Coturnix japonica: one gene and its partner. The protein of the gene in region 1 interacts with the protein of each later gene in a pairwise test. Links are inferred from orthologs where the notes say so. Each region holds a gene or a part of one and is shown on either strand. Other genes may lie near its edges. The genes, in order: USP54 and ATXN1L.

Region 1 (11,276 bases):
TGTTTTGAGTGTGTTTCTGTTAGCATTTTGTCTTTGTTAATTTTCAAAGCTGATCTGGAATTCTGAGGAGGATTTACAGTATATAGCAATCTTTTAAGCATAAAAGTTGGAGTACAGATGGCAAAAAGAACTGAAAGGCCTGTTGAGAAGTGGCTGTAGAGGGGAACAATAACTGATGAATTCATGTGCTGCGTTCATAAATCAATCAGTAGTTCTAACAGGAAAGGAATGATAGCTGAGATGCCTGAACTCAAAAATCAAAGGAAGCTGCAGAACTAATCTTGGGAGGGAAGTCAGGGAAAGGAAACATTAAGGAAACATCACAAATGCATCCTTTTTTGGGATGGGGAAAGGACCTGAGGGAAAGGAGAAGAAATACTGGGGATGGTAGGAAGAGAGGGAATGAATCAGTGAAGTTATCAACTTCTGGCTTGCCTTTTATGAAGTAATATATGAGATACAAACTGATTTGTGGGAGACTGAAGGAAAAGGGATTGGCAAAGGCTTATGCATATAGATGATGTTTACTTGATTTGTCTATTCATTTATTCATTTAAAAAGAATCAGATACAATCTTAGTATAAAGTTTATTAGACTTTCAATTCATAACAGATAAAGTGTGTTAATTATTATGACTTATGTTATTGTTATCTTTATTAATGTTTTGTACTTGACTAATTTTTTTTCAGCTTTGACTTCCCCAGAGTCAGTGTATTTCATACTTAAATTACACTTGACAGACTTGAAACTTAATAAAGAATTTCAGTGTGGTACTACCGTGTATTTAGCAGTCTGAAACACATAGTTTAATTTTGCATAAGAAGTAGATTGGAAAAACTCAGAGTAATCAGAGACAATAGAAATAAAGATTTTTAAGGTCATATGACACCCTTTTCTTCTTGTTACAGAAAAGGGCGTTTTCTGTAAGATCGAGTCTTCTGGGATCTGTGTTTATATACTTGGTCCTCAGCTTTTTGAGATAACTTGTGTAGTTTCCTCTCTTCTTGTGTTCCCTTTTTTAGCCTCACTTGACTCTTTAACAAGCCCCAAGACATTGAAATTTGACAGTACTTTCTTTTTTAGGGAGAGAACCTTCCATCTCAAGTGATACCAGAACAGATTCCTCTACAGACAGCTATCCTTATAAACAGGCACACCATGAGTCTGTGGTCAGTCACTTCTCTTCTGACTCACAGGGAACGGTCATCTACAATGTGGACAATGATGCAGCTTCTCAGAGCAGCAGGGACACAGGTAGCAGATAAATTCATATCTCAATAATCATTGTCGATAAATGTGATGAGTACAGTGAAGCCTAGTGAAGAATCTCTCTCTATGCAGCCCGTAATGGACTAGTGAACAATGTTTACTATCTTATATGGTTTTGATTTGCAGTTAACCATTGTAATCCCAAAGATTCACATAATTTTAAATGTATGGCTGGCTTTTGTAGACTTTTATCTAGCCAGGCAAAGATTTACACACACTGTTTCTGTTATCCACTACCTACTTGCTCTCTTTGTTTTGTAAAACTCTGGAACTTGAAGTCTGTTGTGCACTTCCACTGTACAGTTTGGTAAGTCATGTGCGTACTACTTCTTCTTCATCTATGGGCAGTTTGTTTCAGGAGTTGCAGCTTTCTCTCACCAGGAATCTCCCATACTTGAGTACCGAGGACTTCCTGTGTATGTGTGTTGGCAGTGTTTACTGCACCAGGGAGGAGCATAAGATGATTTCCTGCCTGTGCTATGGAGACAAGTGAGAGCGTATAGTTGGAAAAGAGTCTGTCTTCATATTCCTTCAGGCAGCTGAAGAGTCTGCCTGAAGACTCTCTTGCAGAAAAGAAATGTACTGGAAGTCTGCAAGCTTAGATCTGTATTACTCATGGCCAGTGATCTCAGTCAGCCTGTTTCTGCATGTAGTACTAACTTCACTTCTGAAAAAGCAGAGCATGAGTTAACGACAGACTTCTTGAACATCAGAAATATGAGCTACTAAGTCCATTTGCAGTTCCTTTATTACTCTTTCAAAGACTTCCTAACAGGAATAACTGCTGAATCAGCAACTGTTGGTTGCAACAGTGTCAATAGCTAACACACAGCTGCATCCTTCTGGTTGTGAAGTAGTTGCTGTCACATCTTGTGACACATAAATATCTTTGGTTCATTTGAAGCAATCTGTGGTGCAAGTGTTTCACGTTACAACCTGAAAAAAATGTCTCAAGAAATTTTTCTTCAAGACTTTTTTTTTAATCTTAGCAGTTTCAAGTAACTGTAATTTGTGGTTTTAGATAACTTGAAGGTACTTCTAACCTTTAGCAAATACTTAGCAACGAAAGTTCTGGTAATAGTCCTCAGTAGAGTGTGAGAAAGAAGGGAAAGTTGGAGCAGAATTGGAGAGTGCTGAGGAAACAAAATTTATGTTGATCCAAAGATTACAGAAAAGCCAAAAATAAAAAAGCTGGTGGAGTATTATTTGTGTGGTCTGCAAAAGTAGCAGAAAGTATATTGTATTAGATTACTCTTTGTAAATTTTTTTTTTTAAATAGGGGAGGGTAGTAGGAGGGTTGCCACCATGTAAGCAGATTAAATTCAATATATAACCTTTTTGTTCTGTCATTTTTTAGTGATGCTCTCCTCTTCTTTTTCTTTCTTCTCCCACTGATTCTGTCCTATGTTATTCCCTTCAGTTCTAGACCATTTCTCACCACCTAATTTCAGTCATCCTCATCTTCCCTGACTCTGCTTTAGTTACAGTCAATATGTCCCCTTAGCTAGTCACCTGTCTGGATGTTTTCCCCTGTTATTTTTGCCTTCCTGAAACCTTTCCAAAAAGCCAGTCTGCCAACTTATGCAACTGTTCAGTCATCAAAGGGTGATCCGTGGGGCTATAAAGAAGCCATCCACATTGACCTGTCAACTGTTGCTGCTATTGAATCGTTCTGGGCAAGAGCAGGATTCTACATTTAATGGCCATTTACCCCACTACTTCAGCCCAGAATTTTCTGGACCCTATCCCACATCGCCCTTCTGGGAAGGACCACCATTGGGTCATATGACCTCAGGTACCTGGGTTCTTCAGGATGAAAGCATGAAGGGTGGCTGCATGAGCCCTCTCTTGCTCCTGCCAACCTGTGCTGCTGAGAAAAATGTGCGTATTCTGGCTGCCCTGTTCATGCAACTGAGATTTCCGTGGGAGGGAGCAGTGGATGTTCTGTCTTAATCTGTTTGATTTCATTCTTTTTCTCTTAACATATTCTGTCCCCCATTCCTGCCAAAAAAAAAAGGAAAAAAACCCAACAAAACATTTCTTTTTAATCCTGCTGTTTATGAAGCCATTGGACCCATCCTACACATGGAGGATGAGACATTTAGGAGCACATTCAGCAAGGCACACCCTTTACATGAGCAACCGAGCACTCAGAAATCCTGGCTTTTTATTTTAGTGAAGTAAATGAAATGAGTGTGAAGTTTCAGATTGTATTTCTGCGACTGTTAGTTCCTCTATTGATGCATTACACTGGTTTTAGTCTTTGTTAGGAGAGACAACATAACCTGTGTGTTGCAGGCTTGTGATTCTTGGAATCTCCTCTGTCTGTTAAACCTTCAACAACATTATGACAAAACTGGCAATTTATGAAAGGAGGAGAAAATTTTTATGCACTACTAGCAGCCTTCGTTTTTACAAGGCTGAATTATGTTCTTCTGTAGTCTATACAGACAGACACTAAGCTAGCTAACTAGACTTTGTTGCAGTGCACGAAGAGTGCTAACTAACCATTCTTACTAAGTAAGCTGAAAGAGCTGTAAGGGAAAAAATGTTCACTAGAGAAGTTGTGCACTCTGAAATGAAAAATAATCCTCTTTTTATCTTGAGAGAAACCACAACAAGGTATGAGATGCTACTGTTCTTTCAGTCCCTAGAAGATATATGGCAGTCCATGCTGTGGTGGTAAATGATTTCTCCCAAAGAACTGACTGATTCATGCTCAGTCACCTAAATGCTGTAGGTCTTTAGTCTTCACTGCCAACGTTTCTCTTTTATTCCCTTAGTTCTTTTCTTTATTTTGTTTGTTTCTAAAGAATTTAGCTACAAAATCACTATACAGTTTGCAATTGAATAGAAACATGAGTTTTGTGTAGCCTGCTTTTTATTGTTTGGATTCCTTCCCACTCATACATTGTAGCACCTTTGTAGCAACTGTAGTTGAATTGTATTACTTTTTCAACTGTTTAAAAGTATGATTTTACTTGTAAAATCTACTTTAAGTGTTGTTGAATTTGATGTTAATTTCTAGTAAAGGACCAGGCTCAGAACAGCCGATTACATAGTCTGGGGGCTGTTCATCCACTGTTGAGTAGTAGAGTTTTTCCATTGTTGTCATCCTGTACAAGGTGAAATTTGTTGATGTTAAGGCTAGAAAAGTCTTTGTAGCTTATTCATAAATTCCCTTCTTATCCTGCATCTCTGCTTGGGACTACTCACGTGAGTAAAGCCATGCGTGTGTTTGTGCTTGAAGGCTTAGGACTGTGAATGTGTGAGAACCGTAAAATAAAGAAAATAAATGGTAATACAGAAAACACGTAATTAACTGTCATATACTCTTAATCACATTTTGTCTGGGAATATATCATGTACAAGAGAAAATGCTAGGACACGTGAGCTGTAGTTAAGGGATGTTGTGTGTCAGCTGATCCATGCTGCTGATGTGTGTATGTTCTTAGCTTGTGGCAGATATGAATTAGCTGGCTTAGCCCTAGAGAGCCAACTGAGGCTTCTTCCTTGTAGCCTAAACTAACTCAAATTACCTTTGCTACAGGCGAAGAAAGTGCAGATATAGAATCAGTGTAGAGATGCTGATGATGCGCAGTAATTTTTCCTTAGATGCTGACTTGCTCATGCATTTAAGCCTTCATTCAACAGAATAACGGCAAGCAAACTATTCTTAGTTTTTTGTTCATGGCTATGAAAACTGAGCAAGTGTTCAGACAGCAAGGAAGTGGTATCCTTAGAGCACAGCACGATAAAATACAGTCAACTCTTCTTCTTTTGGATGATCTCTCATTATTAGAGTCATTGGAGGGAGCGTAGCACTTATAACCTTAAAACAAAGCAAACAAACCAGACTCCCCTTCTCCAAGACAAAACCAGAGACTTGTGGATGGAAGAGCTTAACCAAACCTGACAGTTAGCATTGGAGAGGCTGTAGCTCCTAAGGAGCAGAAGAGCCCTACTGTTCTCAGCACACAGAGCACTCAGTCCGAAGGCTCGTCGTCTCAGCTGTGTTCTTCTGTCCTTTCAGGGCACCTGACTGACAGTGAGTGTAATCAGAGGCATATTTCCAAAAAGGGCTCTCTGGCAGAACGCAAGAGGAGTTCTAGTCGGTCTCGGCGAAAAGGGGATGAGACTCAGTCATCAGGATACCACAGTGAAGGCAAGAATTGCTATTTTATTGAAAATATCAGTATCTCTTTCTGATTATTTTTTTTTTAAGATTCTTACTGCATATGTACATTTCTCTCCTTGCCTGCATTTTGTCTTTTGCTTTTTTTTTTTTTTTTTATTTTCCTTTTATTTTACTTTTCAAAACCAGCATGAAGATGCCGTGAGTAGGGCTGATAGCTTAATCTGAAGTTATTTTTGTGGCTTTTGCTCTCTCTTTTATGAACTACAGGAGAAACCTTGAAGGAGAAACAAGCCCCCAGAGCTGCCCCCAAACCATCCAGCAGCACCAGCAGACTAAGGGAATTTAAGGAGACAGTGAGCAATATGATCCACAACAGACCACAGCAAATTTCTCAAACCAACCAAAATTCCCCTCATAGAGGGAGTCACGTGGATCAGGCAGAAACACGGCCCTCAAAAAGCCTCTCTGTGCACTCTAGAGACTGGGAAGTTGAGAGTACCAGCAGTGAGTCTAAATCCAGTTCATCTAGCAGGTACCGGCCAAGCTGGAGACCCAAGAGAGAGTCTCTAAATATAGACAGCATCTTCAGTAAAGACAAGAGGAAGCATTGTGGATACACTCAACTTAGTCCTTTCTCTGAAGAGGCAGGTAAGAGGTTGAGAAGAAAGATTTATGTTGAAGTGTGTGGAATTTATAATATTCTGTTATTCAGTTTCATGTAGGTAAAATAGAAAAGTGAAAGTTTTAATGTGGCATGTAGGCTGGTAGCGACTCATGTCTTTGAAGTTTCTTTGTCAATATTGCATGTGTGATACTTGTTTGCTTTCCATATGTTAAATTTTACATCTTAGAAAGTAATGAGGGAAACTTTACTGCCTGTACTGCTTAAATGGACTCAGTACTAGACAGCTAAATATTTGGAAGTTCACCGCTTGGAGTGGCCTTTTTTATTGGTCAGGGTTTTTCTTCTGGTTATTTTTGCATGATGGCTTAAACTATGGTGTAACAAGTACTTCACACAGTAGTGCTGAGCTTCTGTCATGAGGATAAGAGCAGCTGCTGATGATTTACCAGCACTTGCTTATGATGATTTATACAGCAGCTATGCAAACTGAATATAGAGACTTTGTCCTTGGTTTTACTGTTTTTTGACGGTGAAGGAATCCGTTGTGATCTGCTTCCTGTCTTTTGTACCTGTTGCCCCATCCCCCTGCTTCCCTTCCCCTAATTTGGAAATGAATGTAGCACAGTCACTTTATTTCTACCTCAGGAGGTGGATATTCCTGAAACTGTAATGCTGTGAAGAGCAGGTGTTTACCAGTTTCTTTCTTTTTGTTGGTGTGCTACTGGAACTGCTGCTTTGGAACGTGTGTAGATGAGAAGGAAGAGATTTGTTTGACTGGCTGTGGAGTGGTGGTTAACCAGGGCACTTGCAGCAATTTTTGAGTCTTGAGAGGCAGGGACAGTGTCACCTACTGAAAGGAACTAAAGGCTTAAAGGAGTTGAGCAGCATAAATGGATAGAGAGAAGATAAAGATATAAGAGAACACAGCTTCAGGAATAGAAAAAGCCAGAGGAAAAAAAGGAAAAAGGTAAAAAGAAAAAGAAAGCAAAGGGGCAAGTGAGAACATACAGGAAAATCAACAAATGTAGCATCTGAAGTTAATATGACAGTGCAGTATAAATTGGAATTACTAAAGGCACAGTTGGGTATAATGTTAAATGATTTTTGTGAATACAAACTGTTAGGGGGAGAAAGGGATTTTCTTTCCAGATTGGATTGTTACTTTGGGAGAATATGGTAACATATTAAATGGAAGAGTTTTGAAACCAAATTTGCTGAAGAGTGCTGCTTAACATTAACAGAAATGCTGTAAAAGTATTGTTGTTTTTTTTTTTTTCATTTTCCTATTTCTAATGTGAAATGATCTTAAAGACAGTACTTCTGGTTTAAGCATAATTGAGATAATTGAGGAGCAAAAATGTGCATCTTCAGAGCAGCAAATCTACACATCTTCTACTAGGTTATTCTCTTTTATCTCAACAGGAAAAGAGCTTATGGAGAATGAGGTCAAGGAACGTACTGTTCAAGAAACAAGGTCAAGCCAGTCAAATGTCAGATACAAGCGTCCTGTGCCAAGCCGAGGTACCCAGCATGTGATGGATCAACATCCTCATCTAATACAGAGGATGGAGTCTGGATACGAAAGCAGTGAACGCAACAGCAGCAGCCCAGTTAGTCTGGACATGCCCTTGTCTGAAAGTTCAAGCACCCACAGGTAGATTTTAACAAACTTCGTTTTTGGTGTGAAGTCTTTGTTTCTTTTTCGCTGTGTTATGTAATACTGTAGAACATTAAAAACAGAACAAACCAAAGTTAGCCCCATGAAACCAAGCCAACAACACAAAACAACAATCCTAGCTTACAAGACAAGTTCCTTGTGGCAGGGAGAAATAGAAAGGAAGTACAAATCTGAGTGAGATTGATCCCTTTTCTTGTCAGTATATCGATAACTTAATGCTGATGATGAGTAACGAAAAGGAAAATGAATGAGAAATGTAATGTTGAGTGAAATTATGCATCTGAAATAGTCATGCCCTTAGTCTACAATTTAAAATCTCGAATATCAAGCTTAACATGTCCTTTGAATTTAGAATTGGTCTTTTTTCTTTCAGATAAATAATTGTTTCATAGAATCTGTGTACAAAATCAGAAATTGATAGTCTTGCAACCTAATCTTGGAAGATGAGGAGCTTAGGAGGAAGTTTTTTCACTCAGAGGCTGGTAACACACTGGAACTGGTTGCCCAAGGAGGTTATGGATGCCCCATCCCTGGAGGCATTCAAGGCCAGGCTGGATGTGGCTCTGGGCAGCCTGGTCTGGTGGTTGGCAGCCCTGCACATAGCAGGGGGTTGAAATTGGGTGATCTTTGAGGTCCTTTTCAACCCAGGGCAACACATGATTGTCGGTTTGAGAGATTCACTGAAGTCTTGAAAAACATTTGCAGTGTTTATAAGCAAATGTAAGGGCTACTGTCCTCCTGCTTATTTGCTTTCTCTTCATCTGTTTCTCCAAATAATTTTCTGTGGTATGCTTTTCTTTTTTCCCTTGGGACTATAAATTAAATTGCAAGTAAATATTTTTGTGACAATAGAAAATGTAGACATAACTTCTCCTAAGGAGTTTAATACTGTGAAATGTAATTACTCTTTTTGGAGGGACATTCATATGAAACGAACAGGTGGATTGGTTCCTGCCTGGCGTAGCATCCCAAAGTCTCACAGTAGCAGCATACTGGAAGTGGAGCCTACTTCGTCAAATGGGAGCTGGGCGAGCAGCCCACGTGCCATTGGAAATGGTAAGATGAACTTCTCAGTAGTAGTGGTTCTGTGAGTTAAAGTTTATTGGAGTTGTCTTTTGCTTTCTGGATGTTTATCTTTGCAGTGCAGTTATGAAAAAAAGGAATTGAAACATAGAAGAATATAACAACACAGCTTAACTAGTAGTAACTTTGGTTTACCATATGAAATGGTAAAAAACTTATTTGGAATGTTCTTTTTGATCATGCTGTTCTTGTGTCATTTTCAACAAAGACTGATTTGACTGATGAAGTAAAGCTGTTTTTCCTTTTCTTTCCCATAATTCAGTATTCTGCTATTAGTTGAAAATGTCTTCCCGAGCATAACTCATGATAACTCATGATAACTGTTGATTCCTGAAAATAAGCTTATAATAGTGTATACCACGTTCAAAACTGTCACAAATGTGATTAAGCACTTACAGGGTACTTGGACTAAAGCTGAGCTTTTTTGCAGATGCACATTCCAATTATCCTTCTGAGGAAATCCTTCCCCTTACCCAGATATTCTCAGGAATTAAGTAATGAGGGAAGATAGTTTCTATATACAGGTCAAAGTTGAAGTGAGACTGAAGACTAATTTCTGCAGTGTTGACTTGTACCTGCGTACACATAAGCCTCTTTTCCTTCCATTTTCATCAGGCTACGTTGGCATAATGTTGGTTACAGTTCCAAGCACAGTAAGAAGTATCAAGATTTCACCAGCAACTTAGAATTCTCTTTTCAGATTTTTCTGTTTCACGTGCTGTTTCTTGTGTCAGTGAATTGAGGGAAGGGCTGTGCTACAGGGGATTGTGGACTAATACTGCAGTGCTTTTATCAGAGCCACTGACAGAGAAGACAATTGGAAACCAAATGACTTTGGGCAACCATTAAAAGTAAAATTGAACAAAACAGAATTTGTGGTCTGAAATTCTGTGGTCTTTGGTCAGTATGTTATTTTCTAATGGCAATTTTATTGTCCATCAACATTACTTTGTCTTTTAATGGATACTTTCAGAGATCTTACTGTAAAAAAAATTTGTTTGGAAGGTGGGGAGATGTTTGCCCCTTTGAAGAGTGAACTGGATGAACTGCAAGAGGAAGTGGCAAGAAGAGCACATGAACAAGAACTACGCAGGAAAAGAGAAAAGGAAATGGAGGCAGCAATGGGCTTTAATCCCCGTCCCAGCAGGTTCATGGATCTAGATGAGCTACAGAATCAGGGTAACTTTTTGAACGCAGTATATTTTGCGAGATTTTGGTGCTGAAGCTTTCTGAAGTTTAGAGCTTACTTTCCTACTCTCTTCCCATCCTCCACTCCCACACTGCAATTTTCTGTCTTCACATAGTAGAACGCTATCAGTTTCAGACTTACTGCATACAGAAAACTGATTGGCATTTTGACCATATTATTTCTTCAATGTGACAACAAGGTAAAAGTTTCTAATGCAGAGAGGTTTATAATTGCACCTTTCTATTTTGTGTGTAGTGGTATCTAGATTTAGCTTCAAGGCTTCTACCAATATTTTGGAATAAGCATTCAGATACCTCAGATCCGCCTGCAGCATTGCTTGTCCACTTAAATTGTTATTTTCTTTATTTTTCTTGCTTAGTAGCATCACTGACCTAAGCAATTCTGTCTGTTCCTGCCTTTATACTCTATGATTCTCTCCCTGTTCAGCTGCAGCACAGGGGTGACAAGTAGTGGGGTGAGCTTAAATGGGTAGAGTACTTCAAAAAGATACATATATATTACGTCTTTCCTAAAGGACAAGAATTGGAGAGAAAAACATTGAAAAAGCCAAATATTCAGTCTTAGTATGTCTGCTCCAAGACTCCCTGCCTTTCTATTAAGAAGTGGCAGCAGAAAAGGAGATTTAATAGGAAAAATGCGACTGTAACAGAGGGAGATTAGTGACAGGATTCAAGTGTAGCACCGTTGTTTTATTCTCAGTCTCCATTAGCTGGTAAGAGAAGGCTGGCTGACCCAGCTGAGAAACTTGGTAGAATGCTTAACTGTGGGTTCCTGGAGGTCAGCAGAACCAAGAAATGTGGTGAAACATGTAGGATTTGGTCTCCTGAATTCATGCATTGCTGGGGCAGACTCACTGAGGTACTGTGGCCTCCCAGGCACTTCTGTGTTGCCAGACCTCCTGGGACCCTTATACTGTTCACTCAAACCTCTTGTAGCAGAGAAGGAGATGAGGTGTTTGTGTGCTGCAGAACAGAGGTGAAGGATTGAGAGGGGACACCCCACAGCAATGTGAGCTCTGGATGCAATACAGCTGGTACTCTGCCAACTGTTGGAATGTCACTATACTTTTGGTGGCTGGATAATATGATCTTCATGAGGATGTCTGACAACCTGAATGTACTTTTTAAAATTTCTTGGCATTAGTGAGTTACTTGATAATCCTTTATGGTCCCACTGTGACCTGCAGGTAACCAGTTTACAACTTCTGTACCAAAATAGACAGGTATTTCTTTTTATTAGCATTTGGGTTTATTTTTGTAAAGTGCTAATGAGA
Region 2 (16,535 bases), on another chromosome or scaffold:
TCTGGTTTGATATCACAAGTCCTTCTGCTCTCACGTTGTATTTTAAGGGTTTATGAATTGCTGAACACCATCTCCAGTGATCCGTTACAGTAGGCAGCGCTGCTTTCCCAGCCCTTCCCATTCTGTGGGTATTTCCATAGAGGGCTTTGTTTGCCCAGTAAATCTGGCTCTGGACAATGGAAAGTAAACAGACAAAGCCTAAATCACTTCAGCCAATGGAAACAGCACCAAATGAAATTACCATACACGTGAAGCACAGCCTAAGAACCTTCATTGTGTGTCCTTCAGAGTTAAGGCAGGACTTCCTCATTCACTGAGGAGGCAGAAAAACCAAGAGCCAATACTGAAGATCCAGTAAGATTTCATTGTCATCATCCATTCATTGAAACAAGTACGTAAAGACATTTGTAAGCATGGATTATATTATCAACAAATCACGGTACAGAAACTATTTCCTCTAAACAACACACAGGCAGTAAAGCAAGGAACCAGCAATTCAGAAAGCAAAGGAGAAGCAGCTCCTCAGCTCTCACAATACAAAGCAATACCAGCCTCACGCTGCCCAAGAAGTACATTTCACTTCCTGTCTCAGAAACATTAAAATGATCTCACTACATAGTAGTGAGCCTAGATTTTGACAGTCCTCCAGGCTAAAGCCAGCCAGAGCTGCACCTGGAGGAGCCACATCATCCTCAGGAACTTCAACGGCAGCTCTGACACCACCGGCCACATCAGGTGATGCATCACAACGGTGTTGACACAGATCTAGAGAGTAAATGATTACAAAGCTGGGAGAAAACAAGCCAACAGGGACTGGGGATGATAACTATCAAATCCACAGTGCTCTGGCCTGCAATTCTAAGTCACATGAGTGCACACAATTAGCTTTTTTTTTGAAGGCTTGGTAGAAAACATCCAAAGTAGAAAAACAATCAGAAGAGCTTGAATGGAGGCAACAGGTTTGCACGGATATTCCTCCAGGATGTAAAACATCCAATTCACACAAGACAGCAACTAACCTGCCAGGTACACACCTGACCAGTCTGCATTTACAGCTGTACAGCTAAGGGGGAAAAAACCCAACAAAAAACCCAACAACCTACACTAAATGAAAAAGAATGCAACGACCCACCTCTCCTGCTTCTGTCAAGAAATACACCTCAGCATCCTCCCCACCGCAGTCAAATCAACAGAACAACAGGAAACACTTTTCCACATTCATGCTGCCAAGCAATCCGTAACTCAAAACTATACTGAGAACTATGACAAGAGTAATAGCAAGGCAGGCACAAGGTCTCATGGACTCCATGGATACGCAGTCAGCACACTTTTATTATGCTGCAGTTGGATAAAAGGGAAAAAGAGAACGAAACAAGGCTCCAACAAGCTCCAGAAGGGCATTATTGACAAGAACTTTTGATTTCCCTGATAGCAGGAGTGAAGGATGGACAACGCGCAGCACGACTGTGCCACAGGCCGGCAAGGCAGTGAAACCTGAACCTGGCAGAACCAGAACTGCCCTAGGATTTGACATGTGAGCACTCAGACTTCACTGAGGGAAGGAACTGAGGCCATGTATTAATCATCTGACAAGAGCTAAAAACAAGAAGAATAATGAAGAACCATGAAATCAAAATATGAAGAGGATGAAGAATTTAGAACTATAAGACATAATAAGCAATGAACTATAAAATCTGTCTCAACATCAGGCAGGATCTTGAAATTAACACAACGAATCACTTTAAATAGTAATAAGTAATACAGTAATAAGTCTCTGGTAACCACAAAACTATTGAACAGCAAACTGCCATTAACAGTAAAATGGCACAGAGCTCTACATTTCAGAGATGCATTTCATTGCACAAGATGATGAACAGAGAGAACAACCATATAATCTAGGAACAGCACACCTGAAGTTTAACTTTATACAGCTTAAAACCTCTTTCAAAGTAGCAAGTCTTGTTCTTCAGGATCAATTAGCACTTTTCCTTCCATACAGAACATACATCTTGTTCTTGTTCCTTCCACATCAACACAAACGGCAACGCAAATTTTAAAAGCAATCACCTCTGTAACAATTTAACAGATCGATATGATGGAAAAAGGTGATTCACCAGAGATGAAATGACGGGAGGATCAACGCGATAGAAAGCTGCTGTAAGGGAAGAAGACTGCTCAGCCGTGTCAGAAGATTCCAGGTTCACAGGGGAAAGCTCCACCAAGGAATCCCCAGGCACAGATCCTCCCACGGCACAGTCAGCCCTGCAAGGAGCACTAACAGAGGCAGCCAGGCTCCACCCCCTCCTGGTCACGCAACTCAAACACCTGCTCCCTGGGCTCACCAGCTCCTTTCCCCAGGTGCTTAATCACTGGTTCTGTTCCCATTCAGCCTCCTTCCTCATTCTGTTCTTTGCTACCCATAAACTCCAGAAATCGGGGATTATCTCTGAATACCTGACAAGAACCTAACAGTAGGAACCACAATTTGTTTCATACTTTATCAGCTTGAAGGCCTTATTCTTTAAGAAGCACTTCTCCTGATATGCAAAAAAGAATGAGATATCCAACTCAGATTAATTCCTGTGTTTGGGCAACTGGTGCCTAAATTCATCCCTCTCCAACTCAGTAACTCCTCACCAAACCAACCAGGAAGGAATTCCTCCTTCATGAAATTCCTTCTTGGTAAACTATCCAAAAGTGGAATAAAAAACCCACGTCAACCAGCAAAACAAAAATCGTAATGTATTAAAAACACTTCATTGTATTATACTTTATGCTTCTAAACAGGTACTTTCTCCTCCCTTGCAGTCCTTTAATAGATGTGTTTGTACTGCATTAAGTTTGAAGATCTTACTTAACAGGCTATTACCCCCAAAATACGTAAACATAGAACCTTGCTACGGACCTGCTTGAGAATACCACCGCATCCAAAGGCTGTTAGCAGTTAACGTCTTATACCTGCAAGCAGCACCTGACCCTGCTGAAACCTCACACATCAAAGTACTCAAGTGCTTCAGTCAACCCACAGCCAGCCATCAGGAAATTAAGCCTCAAGACCCTGCCCCCAAGTCCTGCAATCCCACTCCTTAAAAAACAACACACCCCGCACCCCCACTTTTGCGAAGTTACGTAATTCAAACCTCCAACTGCAATCAGTAACAGAATGCCCCTACTTCCTTCATTAGAACTGATCGAGCCTCCTGAACAGGAAAAGAAAACAGAAGGTATGTCTGGATAGACTGTGCAAAAGGAAAACGTGCAGTGGTTAACCTGAACAGACCAAACAACACTGCCAGGGGGCTTCACACCATCAGACACCTGAAAAGAAAGTGGCACAATGGCAGTAAAAAGAGAAATAAAACACTACAAACAGAGACCAGACTGGCAAGGAAAAACTAAGAAGAAAGAGATACCGGCACAATGTTTAACATCATCCATATTTATACAGAAAACAGCACGCTCCCAACCAAGCAGCACAGCCATCATCACTGCCATCATCACTGCGGGCAAAGGCAACACACAGGAGTTCCTAAAAAGCAACCAACCATACAACATTCAAAGGGGAACGTAGCGTGTGTTGAGAAAAAGCTATTTCCTACAACACAGGTAAATAACAAGTGGAAAATAAGTAACATAGGGATATCAGAAAGAAATTAAGGCAAAGGAAATGTCAAGACAGAGAATGATAAGACAAGGAATCGGAATAGTCTGCATTATACAAAGATGGGGGGCTTGGGAATGGAAGGAAGCATGGAACACGCCTAAAAACGGAAGCTGAAAAAGCAGCGGCAGAGGATGTGATGGTGCAACGTGCAGGTACACGGACAGCAAAAGGCAGCACAGGTAGCACGCAGGCAGGGCAGCACGTGTGTCACTGCTTCGAGACTGAACCACACACCTTCCCCTACACTGCACTACAACAAAGTGCTGTACTGCCAGGTGCCTGGAAATGCTCATTGTGGACCTTTATCTACAGCATCTCCAAAGTGCCAGATCAAGGCAAATGCCACTAACTGCAGTGATATTAGCAGATATTCGTTTGCACTGCTTCTTTCTGAGTAACAGCACTGTGTATGTTTAGTGACACCAAATATCATCCAATAAAGTAACACAACCATCATGATCGATGAGACTGTTTTCCTCAAAGAACATCCCAGTGTGATCCAGAACAAGTTCACATGGCTTTCAGACCAAAGATTTTGCGCTCTTATTAAACAAAACAGCTCATCTCTGTCTGAAGATGCACAACACCAACTCAAAAACATTAATGTAAAGGAGGCATCAACTTCAGAAGCCTTTATGCTCTGAAAGGCAACTTCCCAATCCTTAACCCATGCAGTCTGTCTGCATGCCTAAGAACAGACAGATCCAGCTCCTTTCTGCTGCTCACAGCCTTTTTATTCCACAAACGAATGTACCAATCTCATCAGGTTACAGTGACGCTAATTCAAACCTCCTATTGCAAACAGGCTATCAAGATTGGAAGGATCTACCTGTCACACTCACTCATCGGCCAGGACAGTGCCAAAAGTACGGACCAACTCCGCTTTGATTACGGTGCCCCTTGAAAAAAGAAAGGTCAGATTAAAAGTCACAGGAACAAAGAAATGGAAGAGAAGAGAAGAGAATGTCCCTCTATCAGAAACACTAAAATAAAAAAGGAACCTGAAAGCTGTTCTACACAGCAGGGCCAGGACAGCTGGGTGCCTCACTAACAGACCCTCCTTTCTGCCGTCAGCTCACAGGAATTGAAGCTCGTTCCTCTCCTCCTCCCAGCGCGGCAGAAGCGAGGGCTCACCCTGCACAGTGCCCTGAGGAACAAGGCCTCCCGCCTGCATCCAGCTCACGGGCATCCAACGAAATGCACCGTTTGAAGACAGGACAAGCAGGAAAAAGGAAAAGTTTTGTGGTAGAATGGGAATGCTCCCTGTCTGCAGAGGAAAAATACAGTCTGCAGAAAGGGGGAAGAAAAGTAAACAAGCGAACGGAAGATCGAGATTGATGTTACTGCAATGAAGAACAGGGAAAAAAATCTTCAATGTGTCATTTTAAACACGGGGTGAATGGAGGATCGCACAGACAGAAATACGCCCCGCGCTGCTTAAGGCGGTGAGCGCCAGATGCCGCTTCTGGTCCCGCACGTGAAACGCCCTTGGAAGCGCTTCCATTTAACTCCGTATTTTTCCATTCGCTTCAAGCTTTCAGAACCGAACGCAGCACGGAGCCCTGAGAGCCCCGCAAAGCGAACGGCGGTGCCGCCCTCCCGCTGCCGAACCAACGCCCAGCGTTCAAACGAGCAGGGTTTGCCCTGTGGCTCCCGAGGAGGAGCGGGGAAGGCTCCGAGAGGGCCCCGATCCCCGCGCCGCCTTCCAGCCGCCGAGCGCAGCCCGCCCGGTCCCGGCGGATCTCCCGCCGCGCTCCCCGTTCTCCACGCGGCGCCGCGTGTCGTTACCGAGCGCGGCCCGGCCCGAGCCCGCGGCTGAGAGCACAAGGCCGCGAGCCGCGCTCCGTCCCGCCTCCCACAGCCCCGAACGGGCGGCACAGAGCGACGGGAGGAGCCCGCGGGAACCGAGCGAGGGCGGGAGGAGCGAGACGGGCCGCGGGACGGGACGGGAGGACACAGCCGGGACGGGCCGAGGGACGGCGGGCAGCGCCCCGAGCACGGCGGGGCTCGAGGCTCCGGGCCGAGGGATCCTGCGGGACGAGGCGACGCCGACAGAGAGCGGGACCGGGCACCGCCGGGAGCGGGGGACGGAGCGGAGAGAGGAGCGGGAGAACGGGCGGGCGGCGCGGATGGGGGCGGCGGGCGGCAGCACTCACCGGGCCGGTCCCTGGAGCGGAGGCAGCGGCAGGAGCCGGGCATTCAAAATGGCGGCGGCTCGGCCTCAGCACCGATACCGCAGGCGGAGGGATCCGCACGGCACGACGCTCCTCGCGGCCCCCCGGGATCCGCCGGCGTCGGTCCCGGAAAGCGGCCGGGCGGCCTCAGCCGGGGCGGCACCGACAGGAGCGGGACGGGCGGCGGCGGGCGGCGGGACGGGAGGAACGGGCCGCGCGCACTATTTGTCCCGGCGGAAGCGCACGAGGCTCCGCATCGCGAGCAGCGCAACGAGATGCCGTGGCAGTCGCTGATGACGTCACGGCGGGGCGGCCCCGCAGCGCGACGCCAGTTACGGACCGAGCGGGGACGGGGCGGGGCCACGCGGGGAACGTGCGCGGTGTGCGGGCGGGGCGGGGCGGGACGGGACGGGACCCGCGTGTGCGCTCCGGGTGGGGCGGCACTGTTAAAGCGCGGCCCGGCGTGTCCGTGCGCCGCGGGCAGAGCGCGCTGCCCACCGGTCCGGTTGGTTTTGTTCGGTTTGTTTTGTTTTTCGTGCGGCTTCTGGGGAACGGGAGGGAACGAGCCGCTGCACGGCGGGGCTGAGCGCACGGAGCGGCACCGCGTGAGGAGCCGGAACGAGCCGCCGGAACCCGCGGAGCTTTGGGCACCGTAAAGAACAGCGAGTGCCGCCAAACACGGGACGGAGCGGAGGAACGGAACGGAGCGGGACCGGGGGCTGCGGGACGGGAACGGCTGAGGGGGGCGGGATATGGCTGCGGGTACCGGGACGGAGCTCAGAGCCTGAACCGCACCGGGCCGGGATCCGAACCGGGATCCGAACCGGGATCTGAACCGGGCCGGGCTGAGCCGCGCTGCTCCGAACGGCCGCCTCCCTCACCCGCCCCGTGTCCGCTCGGTGCCGGTCGCGCTCTGTCCCGCCCCGCAGCCCGCTCCGCTCCTCTCCTCCCGTCTCGCACCGCCCCGGACCCGTCTCCCCGGTAACGGACGCTTCGGGCTCCGCTCCTTGTCCCCGCCCCCCTCCACCCCCCCGGCCCGTGAGGCGCTTCCGGCGCGAGGCCGCGCGTCATCGCCGTGCGCCGCGGGGAGGGGCCGGGCCGGAGGCGGCGGTGGGAGCGATGGGGCCGGTGTGGCCGGTGGGGGTCGCGGAGGAGGAGCCGGGCGATGGCGGGTGAGCCGCGGGCCGGGCCGGGCGACGGGCGGGATCCGCGGGGCCGGGCTCGGGCAACCTCCGTCCCCGGGGCCGGAGCTCCGCAGCGGGGCGGGGTCCGGCGGGTCTCGCCGTCCGGGCGCGGGGTCGCGAGGCTCGTCCCCGCGGTTCCGTGGTTCCGTGGCGGCGGCGGGGCCGGGGCTCACGGCTCCCTCTGTTCCCGGTGCAGGTGAGGCGGCGGCCGGCGGCGGGGATCCGGGAGCCGGCGTGCGGCAGCCCCTGCGGGTGCCCCCATGAACCAGCGTCGCGGCCGGGGCTGCCGGGACACCGTGCGGCGCCATGAGAGCGGGCCACGAGCGGAGCCAGGAGTGTCTCCCGCCAAAGAAGCGGGACCTGCCCGCAGCCAGCGCCGGCACGGAGCCGGGACGGGCGGGGGGCGCCCAGGCTTCGGCCGAGGGCCCCGAGTGGGCCCGGACGGGCGGGTCGAGCACCGTGGCCCTGCGCTACGGCCCCGGGGAGGCGGCGGAAGCCGTGGCGGGGCTGACGGTGGACCAGTACGGGATGCTCTATAAAGTGGCGGTGCCGCCCGCCACCTTCTCACCCACGGGGCTGCATCCCGTGGTGAACGTGAGCCCCCTGACCCCCACCTTCAACGTGACCTCGCCCATAATCCAGCACCCGGGGCTGCCGTATCCTCCCATCCATTACGCCCAGATCCCTCCGACGTCCCTGCAGCTCATCGGCTCGCACTACACGGTGCCCTATGCCGTCCCTCCCGGTTTCCTGCCTAGTCCTCTCCTGTCTCCTTCTAGCAACCTCACCACCTCTCACGTCCCCCACTTTGTGCCATATGCCTCTCTCTTCACGGAAGAAGCTGCTCCTTCCCCCCAGACTACCTCTCCTACCCACAGCTTCAACAAATCTGCTCCTGTGGTCTCTCCTGGCCAGATGCAGCACCATGCCGGGACCCAGCCGCTAGATACCACACCAGGTAGGATTCCTGTTTATTATCAGATGTCTCGCCTCCCACCTGGGTATTCAGGATACGAGACACCTTCAGCAGGTGGAAACCCAGATTCTTCTCAGCAAGACAGTCCGCTGAGTTCGGAGGTGGCTGCTGCCAATGGTGAACAGAGACATCTGGAGCACGGTGTGGTGAGGAGGACCGGTGAGGCAGCGGATTCTGCCAGCAGTAAAGCTGAAGACTGTCTGCCAGGGTCTGCAGTGAGATGTGTTGTTGATGGACAGTTTCTTTCAGGTTACCAGACGTTCAGAACAGAGGTTTCTGCGCCAGCACATAGAAGCACACCAGACGCTGATCTGGAGGTTCAGAGGGTGGTGGGGGTGTTGGCCTCTCAGGATTATCATGTTCTGGCAGCCCAGAGGAAAGATGACCCGAGCCCTTTAAACCTTTGCCATAATATCCCTGATCAGCAGGGGGAGTCGAAGAACATTTTGAGGAACACGGTGGAAAGGGGCGCTGCTGAGACGAGCCAGTCCAGGAGTCCGTACGTTGCATCTCCTGAAGAGAAGGTCAGACAAAGACAGTTAACCAAAGGAATGGTGATAGCTAACGGCAAGCCAGTCCTGGTTCCAGCTGGCTCTGAGCCCATCAGGTCTTCCATTTCAGAAGCCCTGGTGAGGCAGAGCCCAATTGTGCAGGCTCAAGGAGGCGTGCTTGACAAAGACCTGGCCCAGCTACAGCCACCCAGCTCTTCTCGCTTGCCTTCTCACTTCATGAAAGGAGCCATCATCCAGCTGGCTACAGGGGAGCTGAAACGAGTGGAGGACTTGCAGACTCAAGACTTTGTTCGCAGCGCAGAGGTGAGCGGAGGCCTGAAGATTGACTCGAGCACTGTGGTGGATATTCAGGACAGCCAGTGGCCCGGGCTTGTCACGTTGCATTTTGTGGTTGGGGAGCAACAAAGTAAAGTAAGCATTGATGTGCCCCCAGAGCATCCATTCTTTGTGTATGGCCAGGGCTGGTCCTCCTGTAGCCCAGGGCGGACTGCTCAGCTCTTTGCTTTGACCTGTCACAGGCTGCAAGTGGGTGATGTCTGCATATCAATCAGTTTACAGAGCATGAATGGCAACTCTGCTTCTCAGGCTAACTACCCTTTCACAGATCAGTTGATATCTACTAGGGAGAGATCTGAAATAACTGCTCAGGGGTCCAGAGAACCATCTGACAGAACTGCTGAAAGGAAGACCCAGACAGAAAGGGAAAATGCAGCTCAGAGCTCCCATGAAGAACCTTCTCAGCCTGAGACTGGCAGTCAGCACAGCTGGACAGCCCCAGGCTTCCAAAGATACAGCGTGCAGGCAGAGGAGCCGCGTCACTCTCTGCTCCGTCCCTCTTTCATTCCCCAGGAGGTCAAGCTGTCTATTGAAGGGCGTTCTAATGCAGGGAAATGATCCCTTTATGGTTGTGAGCGAGGGCATCCCCTGTGGGTGAGCCTTACCTATGTCGGGTGGAGAAATTGCACAGACTTTGTGACAGGTTCACCAGCAAGACTGCTTTCTGCCCTGCAGAGCTGGATTTATTCCAGTTCAGCGGCTGACCAGTTCCTCTTGGGGAATATGGGGGGCTCCAGTGCCTCAGGAAGCAGCAGCAGGCCGGCTGGGGTAGAGAACATGGATGTGCTCATGAGCTTGCAATGAGAGCATCCAGAGGCTGGGCTTTCTTGCACCTCTCTGAATAACTGATTCCCCGCCGGGCAGGGTCTAAGCATTCAGGGAAGGTAGGGAGATGGGAAAGGCAGACATGGCTTAAGGTAGCAGATGAAATTGCTGAAGATTTTATTCCTCCTTTCTCTTGATGGGGAGAGATGGGTCTCCTTTGGAGTTTAGGGGGCTCTACTCCCACAATCCCCTTTCTTCACACATGCACTTTAAAAAGACCGTTCACCAACGGAGCTCTTGAGGGCAGGACGCAGGTGCTTCTCTGATGGTTCTGTTTAATGTCTCTTCCACTGAATCCAACTGCTCTTTTTGCAAAGAATGTACAGAAATTTCCACTAACCACATAAATTCAAGAGGAAGGACCAAAAGGATGGGTTTGGGTGCAGGTGGATAGAGAACTTGAGCACTTGAGATGGGACACAGAACAGGAGACTTCAGTTTCCTGCTATGAAATATTTTTATTGTCACCAAAATTATTTAAGTATTTGCCACCAAATCTAATCTTCCTTCCTATGTTAATAACCTTGAAAACAAAAACCTCTTGGGCGTATGGCTTTTATGCTTAGTCTGCAGGTGAATGGGGTTATGTTTTTTTATGTTGTGTTGTTCTTGTTTTTGGAAAGCGAGAGTTAAACATATTTAACATTCTCTAGTGAAAATGAAAATGCATCCTTCTACTGTAAGAGGACCGAGACTATTGTGTAATTAAATCAGAAGCAGAACTTTACAGATGGCTAGTTCTTCCCTGCAGGCAGCCTTCCGAATAAACTGTAGACAACAGACAAGTGTTTTTGCATGTGGAGGCAAAGTACAGATCTTCTGCTAGGGACTCTAAAAATACCACGGCATTGTGAGGCGTTTTGGGTGTTTTTCTGATCGTTCTGATGCTTCATTTTGGAATTCCTCTGTGGAACTGAGAATAGTCTTTTTCAAAGTGAGATTTAACAGAAGTGTAATAACACTCCATTCAGGTGAAGGCTTCTGTAGTTACACTAATTTAACCTCTCTGGTGCTGCAATATGACACCAGCTGTAGCTGCTTAGATAGAATAAAAAAGTCACTATTTTGTTGAGAATAAGAGTCTTCACCGGCTTAGCTCGGGTTTAAGTGTTCTTTGTGTTAGAGTGCCCATGGCTGTGTTAGGTCCAGGCTTCTGAGGGTTTCTTCTCGGCACGTGGATCCCTGGAGAGCTGCTCCTGATGTTGGCACCATTTTCCATCTCCCTGTTCTCATCGTGCTGAAGGTTCCTGCCAGGCAGCAGCGTGCTGCTGCTCTCACCATCTCCCCGCTCAGCTCACTTGCAGTGCCGGTCCAAATACCGTCCAGTAAGGTGTCCTCTAAATGTTTGGCTTCAGTTGACTGCATGACGAGGATGTTCTGCACAGGTGCTAGGCCAGCTAGAGAGTCTCCTGAATGGTTTTCCTAGTACATTGCTGCCCATTTCTGTTCTTTGACATTCCTGCACCAGGAAAGCAATTTATTTTCAGGCCTTAGTTGAGATGTGCTCCGTTCACGCCTTCAGTGTTTGTGCCTCACAGGGTTTCAGAGTGAGGATGCTGCCTGTGTCACGCGCAGCTTTCCCCCAATGACACACAGCTCATGATCTCATCAGCTGCATTTGGAATTGTACAGAGTCGTGGTGACGCTGTCACGTGGAGGTGCTGCCTCCTTTGCCTGTGGGAAGGATGTTGTCTTCATGACACTGTTTGTCAGTGAAATGTCCCGTCTGGGCCCTGTGCCTGCCTGTCACATGTGATTCACCGTCGCTATTCCCTGAAGTCTTACACAATGGCCTTGACTAATGCTGGTTACTATCTCATGCTCAGGAAATCCAGGTGTCTGCGCCGAGACCAGAAGGCAGCGCAGCCTGGGTTCTCTTGCCCTTCTTTGCATGGTGCATGCAGAGCAACTCAGAACTGTGGCAGGCGGCTGAGGAAGGGATCTTGCATTAAGTACAGCTGATGAATGTAGAAGGGACGTTGGATACTCTGAGTGTTTGCACATCTGAATGGTGCAGAACCTCTCGAGCACCTGTTTGAAGGTGTAAGTCTCGGATAGTTTGTTGAGCCCCCCTTGTCTCTTGTATGTCACTGTACCTACTGCTCATAGAGCCCTGGCACTGGGCAGCGGTCTGAAAGAGCTGGTGTATGAGGCAAGATGCTGCCAAGCGAGAACAGCTCTGTACTTTGGGCAGCTGGAGGGCTGTGCCTGTGCTCACCATGGAGATTTCATGCTGCCAGTCTGACTGTGCCTGTTGAGTTCTGAGCTCTTCAGAGGAGACCAGGATGCGTTAGACCTCGGGGTTTCTATCCAGATTCCCTGCACGTCCCACTGCTGAGTGTGTTTCGGCTGCCAGCTCTTCTGTTCCCTGGAAGCAGCAGCTGGGGCAGTGTCATGGATGGGTGTTAAGATGAAGGATTTTGTCAACTCGGTTGCTTGCCCGGGTGGCCGTTGTCAGGATGGGAACACTAGAGGCCCTCCAGCCCTTCTGAACAGTAGTTGTAATCACTGGAGTCTTTCCTTACTGCATTGGGCTGCAATGCTCATCTCCTGCGGTGGTGGTTGTGTTGTGTTCAGGCTCACCCGAGACAGGGAGTGTGAGACAGGCTCTGCTGTGGGCAGCTAGACCACGAATGAACCCGTGGAGGAAGATTCAGTTTCTTATGTTCAGGAGTAGCAGAGAGAAAGCCAGGAAGAGACTGTGGAATCAGCTGGTTATTCAGACCCTTCTGCAGGCAGAGACGTGAGAGGCTTATTAGAGAAATAAACCATTTTCCTGCTGCTGTTGTGAAGTGAGGCAGATCTGTGGTCTGTCCTACCTGGAGGAGGAGCTGTCCTGGCCTCGGTCTTACCCAGCTGGCACGGAGGTTGTGGGAAGTGTCTGAAGGATGCAGTAACGGGTGTCTGCAGCAATTTGTTCCACCGCATCAAACATTCCTTGGGTTGGCTGCCCAGCAGAAGCCAGGTCTGCTTCCAGGCCCAGCGTACATTGTTCCTCCAGGGACATGAGATTTGCTCCAGGTGACGAGCACTCATCACTACCAGACTATGCAGAGGAAGCTCTGTCTGGAAAGGAGGAAGGCTGCAGAGGTCCCTCTGCCTCCCCTTCCCAGCAGGTGCACAAGTATAATGCACTTTTCACGTTGTGTCCCCGACCCTCCCGTCCCCACCCCACACTTGAAGTCACTTTCCCCAGTAGAGAACTAACAAACCTTATTACTCGGAAAATATTTTAAATGAAAACTGCAGCAGCTCGAGTAGCCCAAATGCTAGTCCCTGCCCATAGCAGTACATGTGCCTTTCCCTAGCGTCACTCACAACTGCTCTTTGCCTTTCAGGCTGTCTTGAGCCTGAAACTTTTGCAGAAGCTGCTCAGATGACTACGAATGCACATTCTATACCGAGTTTGGCCCAGTGTGATCCATGTAGGGCTTAATGTGCTGATGGTTGAGACTCCTCCGTGATCTTCGTGCCTGTCCACATAGGACGGGACTTGCCCCAACGTCCCAGGCTGCTGCTGCCCACCCTGCCAAGCACCGCGCGCATTTGGGTTGCTTTCTGCCCTGGTGGCACCTCAGAGCCCAGGGAAGGGTCTGCCCACACAAAGCAGAGGAAGATGTGTGGCACTGGGGGACCAGCTGGGCTGCCCTGACACAAGGAGGTCTTTGTAGATAAGTGCTGATCCCTCAACTATAATCCCAGTTATGTAATGGCTGTATTAACATGTAACCGACCGCATTGTATCTAAAGCCTTAGAACTAGTCAGGTGCTCCTCTCCAACCCTGCTCCCACCCTGTTCCTCCTACCTGATCTTTAACAAAGCATTAATAATTCTAAGGATAATCTCTATTTTGTTGTGCTTTTTTTGTAACTGTTTTAAATAAATCAATTTGTACTGTATATTTGTACTTTTGGTGAGATCCTTTTTCCTGTTTTACCATTTTAAGTCTGTACTTGGCTACACACAGATTGTATTTTTATTGTTAATGCTCTTATGAATATTCCATTTAACTTGTTGACTCTGTAAACACAGTATATATCTATCTATCTATATATCTATATATAAACCAATAGCTTTTCCTTTGGTGTTTGAGACTTTTTGCTTGTCTGTGGCATCAGCGATCACTTAGATACGGGTTCTGTGGTCTTATACAGTGATCTGGGATCTATGGCTTCAGCTATAGTTTGCACAGCAAAACACCTGCTGGCCGAGCAAAGCACACATCGTAGAGTAATAGCAGCTGCTGCAAAGAGCAAACGGAGCTTGGCATGAAAATGGAGGTAAGAATAAGAGAGATCAACTTTTCCAAAGAGAGCGAGGCCAGACTGGGAGTCATTGTGGAGAATGAGAAGTTAAAACAACTTCTGCGTGTTGAACAAAGTGTGGGCTTCAAAAAAATTAAAAGCTTTTTGCAGCAAGTGCCCACAGGACGGCCTGCAAGGTTTTGTGTCCAGATCAAAGGAGCACTGTGTGCTCCAAAGGCAGCTATTGTAAGCACTGAAGTGTGGCCTTCAGATGGAGTCCCATCAAAAGGATTTGAAAAACCAAGTTGTTTCTGACTAGTCTGCCCAAAGGGTTTTGATGTTTCAGCTCGGGTCCGAGGTGAGATTCTTGTGGCCAATTTCTGACTTAATGCACAGACCGCAGCTCCCCACACACAGATGTACTGCAGGCCTTTGCAGGGAGCGTGGTCTGCAGGGCACCACGTGCAACGTGTGTCACAGCAGTTTGGAGAGCTACAGCTCACTCTTACATCACCATTCTCTTAAATGGAGGATGTATGACTTCTCTGCCCCTTCACTTCCCAGTTCTGCACTAATGTTTTGTCTTTTACAGTCAAAATACGCTTAGGTTTAATTTCCATAGTTGCATAGTTTTATAGTTATCTGTAGTAGCAAGGGGAACATTTTCATATATGTACAAATCCCTGTTACGTTCTGCACTGTCTGCTTCTAGGCTTAAATTCGCTGCTCTCCAGCAGATATTCCCAGACTCGATTATTGTAGCTCTTGAGGCTCCTCCCCAATTCAGGACTTCTCTGCATTACTCTCATGGGTTCTGTTACAGCGCAGAAGCAAAAGCAGCTTTCTGCTTACAGTTTCCCCAGCCATTCCCATGTGTTACCTGCAGTGACCACTGAAAGTCATTGTTGGTCAGAGAATTGTCATGAGGGACGAATTGCTCAGTGTGTGACCCGTGATCCCAGATGAGCAGCATTGCATTGGGCAGTATTAAAGTTGAACAAGCTCATTTCACTTTGAAATCCCAGAATGGCTGAGGTTGGAAGGGACCTGTGGGTCCATCAGGTCCAACTTCTGCTCAAGCAGGGACAGCCAGAGCAGCCCAGCCCGGACTGCATCCCAGCAGCCTTTAGAACACCTCTATGGATGGAGTCTCCACAGCCTGTCTGGGCATCCATGACAGTGCTCTGGCACCTGTAACTTATGCTGCAGTAAACAAGTTTCTGTTCAGCAGAACATCTTACCTATAGCAGAACTGCAGCAGCCTCAACCCACTTAATGGTGTGAGGGTCCAAGAATAGGACAAAGCGCAAAAGATAAAGAAGGGGGCTAAATAAACATGAAACATTAATTTATTTTCCCGCTGTCTGAAGGCTGTGGCTGGCCCCCCAGACTGTGGCCCAAATCTGCTTCCACCAAATCTACTTTGGCAGACGTCTGTCAGCTCCATTCTCCTCCTATTTCAGGAGGAAGCCAGAACTACCTATGCAGGAGTGTGACCCCGGGAGCTATAGCAGCCCCCCGAGCACAGAAGCCTGTTGGTTTGTCTGTGACAGACGCAGCGGAGATGGCAGCCTTTGGCTGCAGCTCAATGCACCGTACTGTTGCTCTGCTCCTCAAAGGTCATTTTGCCCAGCAGCTGGTTCTCCAACTCCACGTTGCCGACTGGCAGCTGGAAAAAGTTCATTTCAGCTGCCAAAGCTGCCATTGCAGAGGAGTCCTGGCCAAACTGTGCCCGCAGCATCATGTCCATTTTCTCCAGGCGCCGCTTCAACCTCTTGGCCTCCCGCTCCCGGATGAGCCGGGCCTGTCTCTTCTCTGGAGTCTCGTTGGCACGTTTCAGTCTCATGGCTTCTCGGTCTCGCTGCAGCCGCCGCGCTCGCTGCTCATCTGTCTCCTGCATGCGCTGCAGGCGCTTTGCCTCTCGATCCCGCATCCGTCTCACCTCCCGCTCCTCGGGAGTCTCATTGTCCCGCCGGCTCTTCTTGGCGGTGCGCTCTCGCTCCAAGCGCTGCAGACGCACTTCCAAGGGCTCGTTCTGCCGACGAAGCGCCCACTTTCGCATGCCGGGTGTCTGCGCCTCCAGCAGCTTACGATAAGCAGCACAGTTGTTGCATACCAGGAGGATGCCTGCAGGATACACGGGGCTGTGAAAGGTAATGTCCTTCCCACTGACGCTGGAGGGGCCCTCGCTCTGTGGCACAGGCAGGCGATCTGCGCTGAGCACCTCTGTCAGCTTCTCACTAGAAAGCAGAAAGAGCAGTGTCAGAGACTTAGTACTGACGGAAAAGTCCTCACCTCAGACTGATAGGGAGGCTCCTACCGGAGCCCGTGACAGAGACCTGTGCCCCAAATTGCATCTGAATATCTAAAAATCAAGCAACATCATATATAGGAGTAGGAATGGGATTTGCCCTGAGCAGTATTTGGGTTAGAAGAGTGCAAAGGCAGGGATTAGCCAGCAAGCTGCTCCTCCCCTTCATTTCTGTATTTCTTCTTTCAGCCTTATTTGCCTAGTTGGTGTCCTTCCACCGGGCAGGACGTAAATGAGGAACATGTTGGTTTCTGTATGTAATCCTGCTTTGGAAAAGAGAAGCCGCATGGGCAGCACAGACCCAGTGT

What was found.
Region 2: the proteins of USP54 (region 1) and ATXN1L interact in binary tests that used the Homo sapiens proteins (3 or more experiments, as listed by UniProt). The link is inferred for Coturnix japonica from reciprocal best matches to the Homo sapiens genes USP54 and ATXN1L.

Annotation. Positions count from the first base shown.
Region 1 is NC_029521.1:13,657,806-13,669,081, forward strand, and holds part of USP54 (inactive ubiquitin carboxyl-terminal hydrolase 54), read left to right. Parts: intron 1-1,083; coding exon 1,084-1,254; intron 1,255-5,302; coding exon 5,303-5,434; intron 5,435-5,674; coding exon 5,675-6,055; intron 6,056-7,454; coding exon 7,455-7,686; intron 7,687-8,623; coding exon 8,624-8,766; intron 8,767-9,798; coding exon 9,799-9,972; intron 9,973-11,276.
Region 2 is NC_029526.1:17,647,452-17,663,986, reverse strand, and holds ATXN1L (ataxin-1-like), read left to right. Parts: upstream 1-6,910; 5' UTR 6,911-7,010; intron 7,011-7,218; 5' UTR 7,219-7,328; coding exon 7,329-9,404; 3' UTR 9,405-13,009; coding exon of another isoform or gene 13,010-13,107; 3' UTR 13,108-13,751; downstream 13,752-16,535. Other genes in the region: ZNF821 (zinc finger protein 821), read right to left, coding at 15,502-16,156. UniProt on the Homo sapiens protein: Chromatin-binding factor that repress Notch signaling in the absence of Notch intracellular domain by acting as a CBF1 corepressor. Binds to the HEY promoter and might assist, along with NCOR2, RBPJ-mediated repression.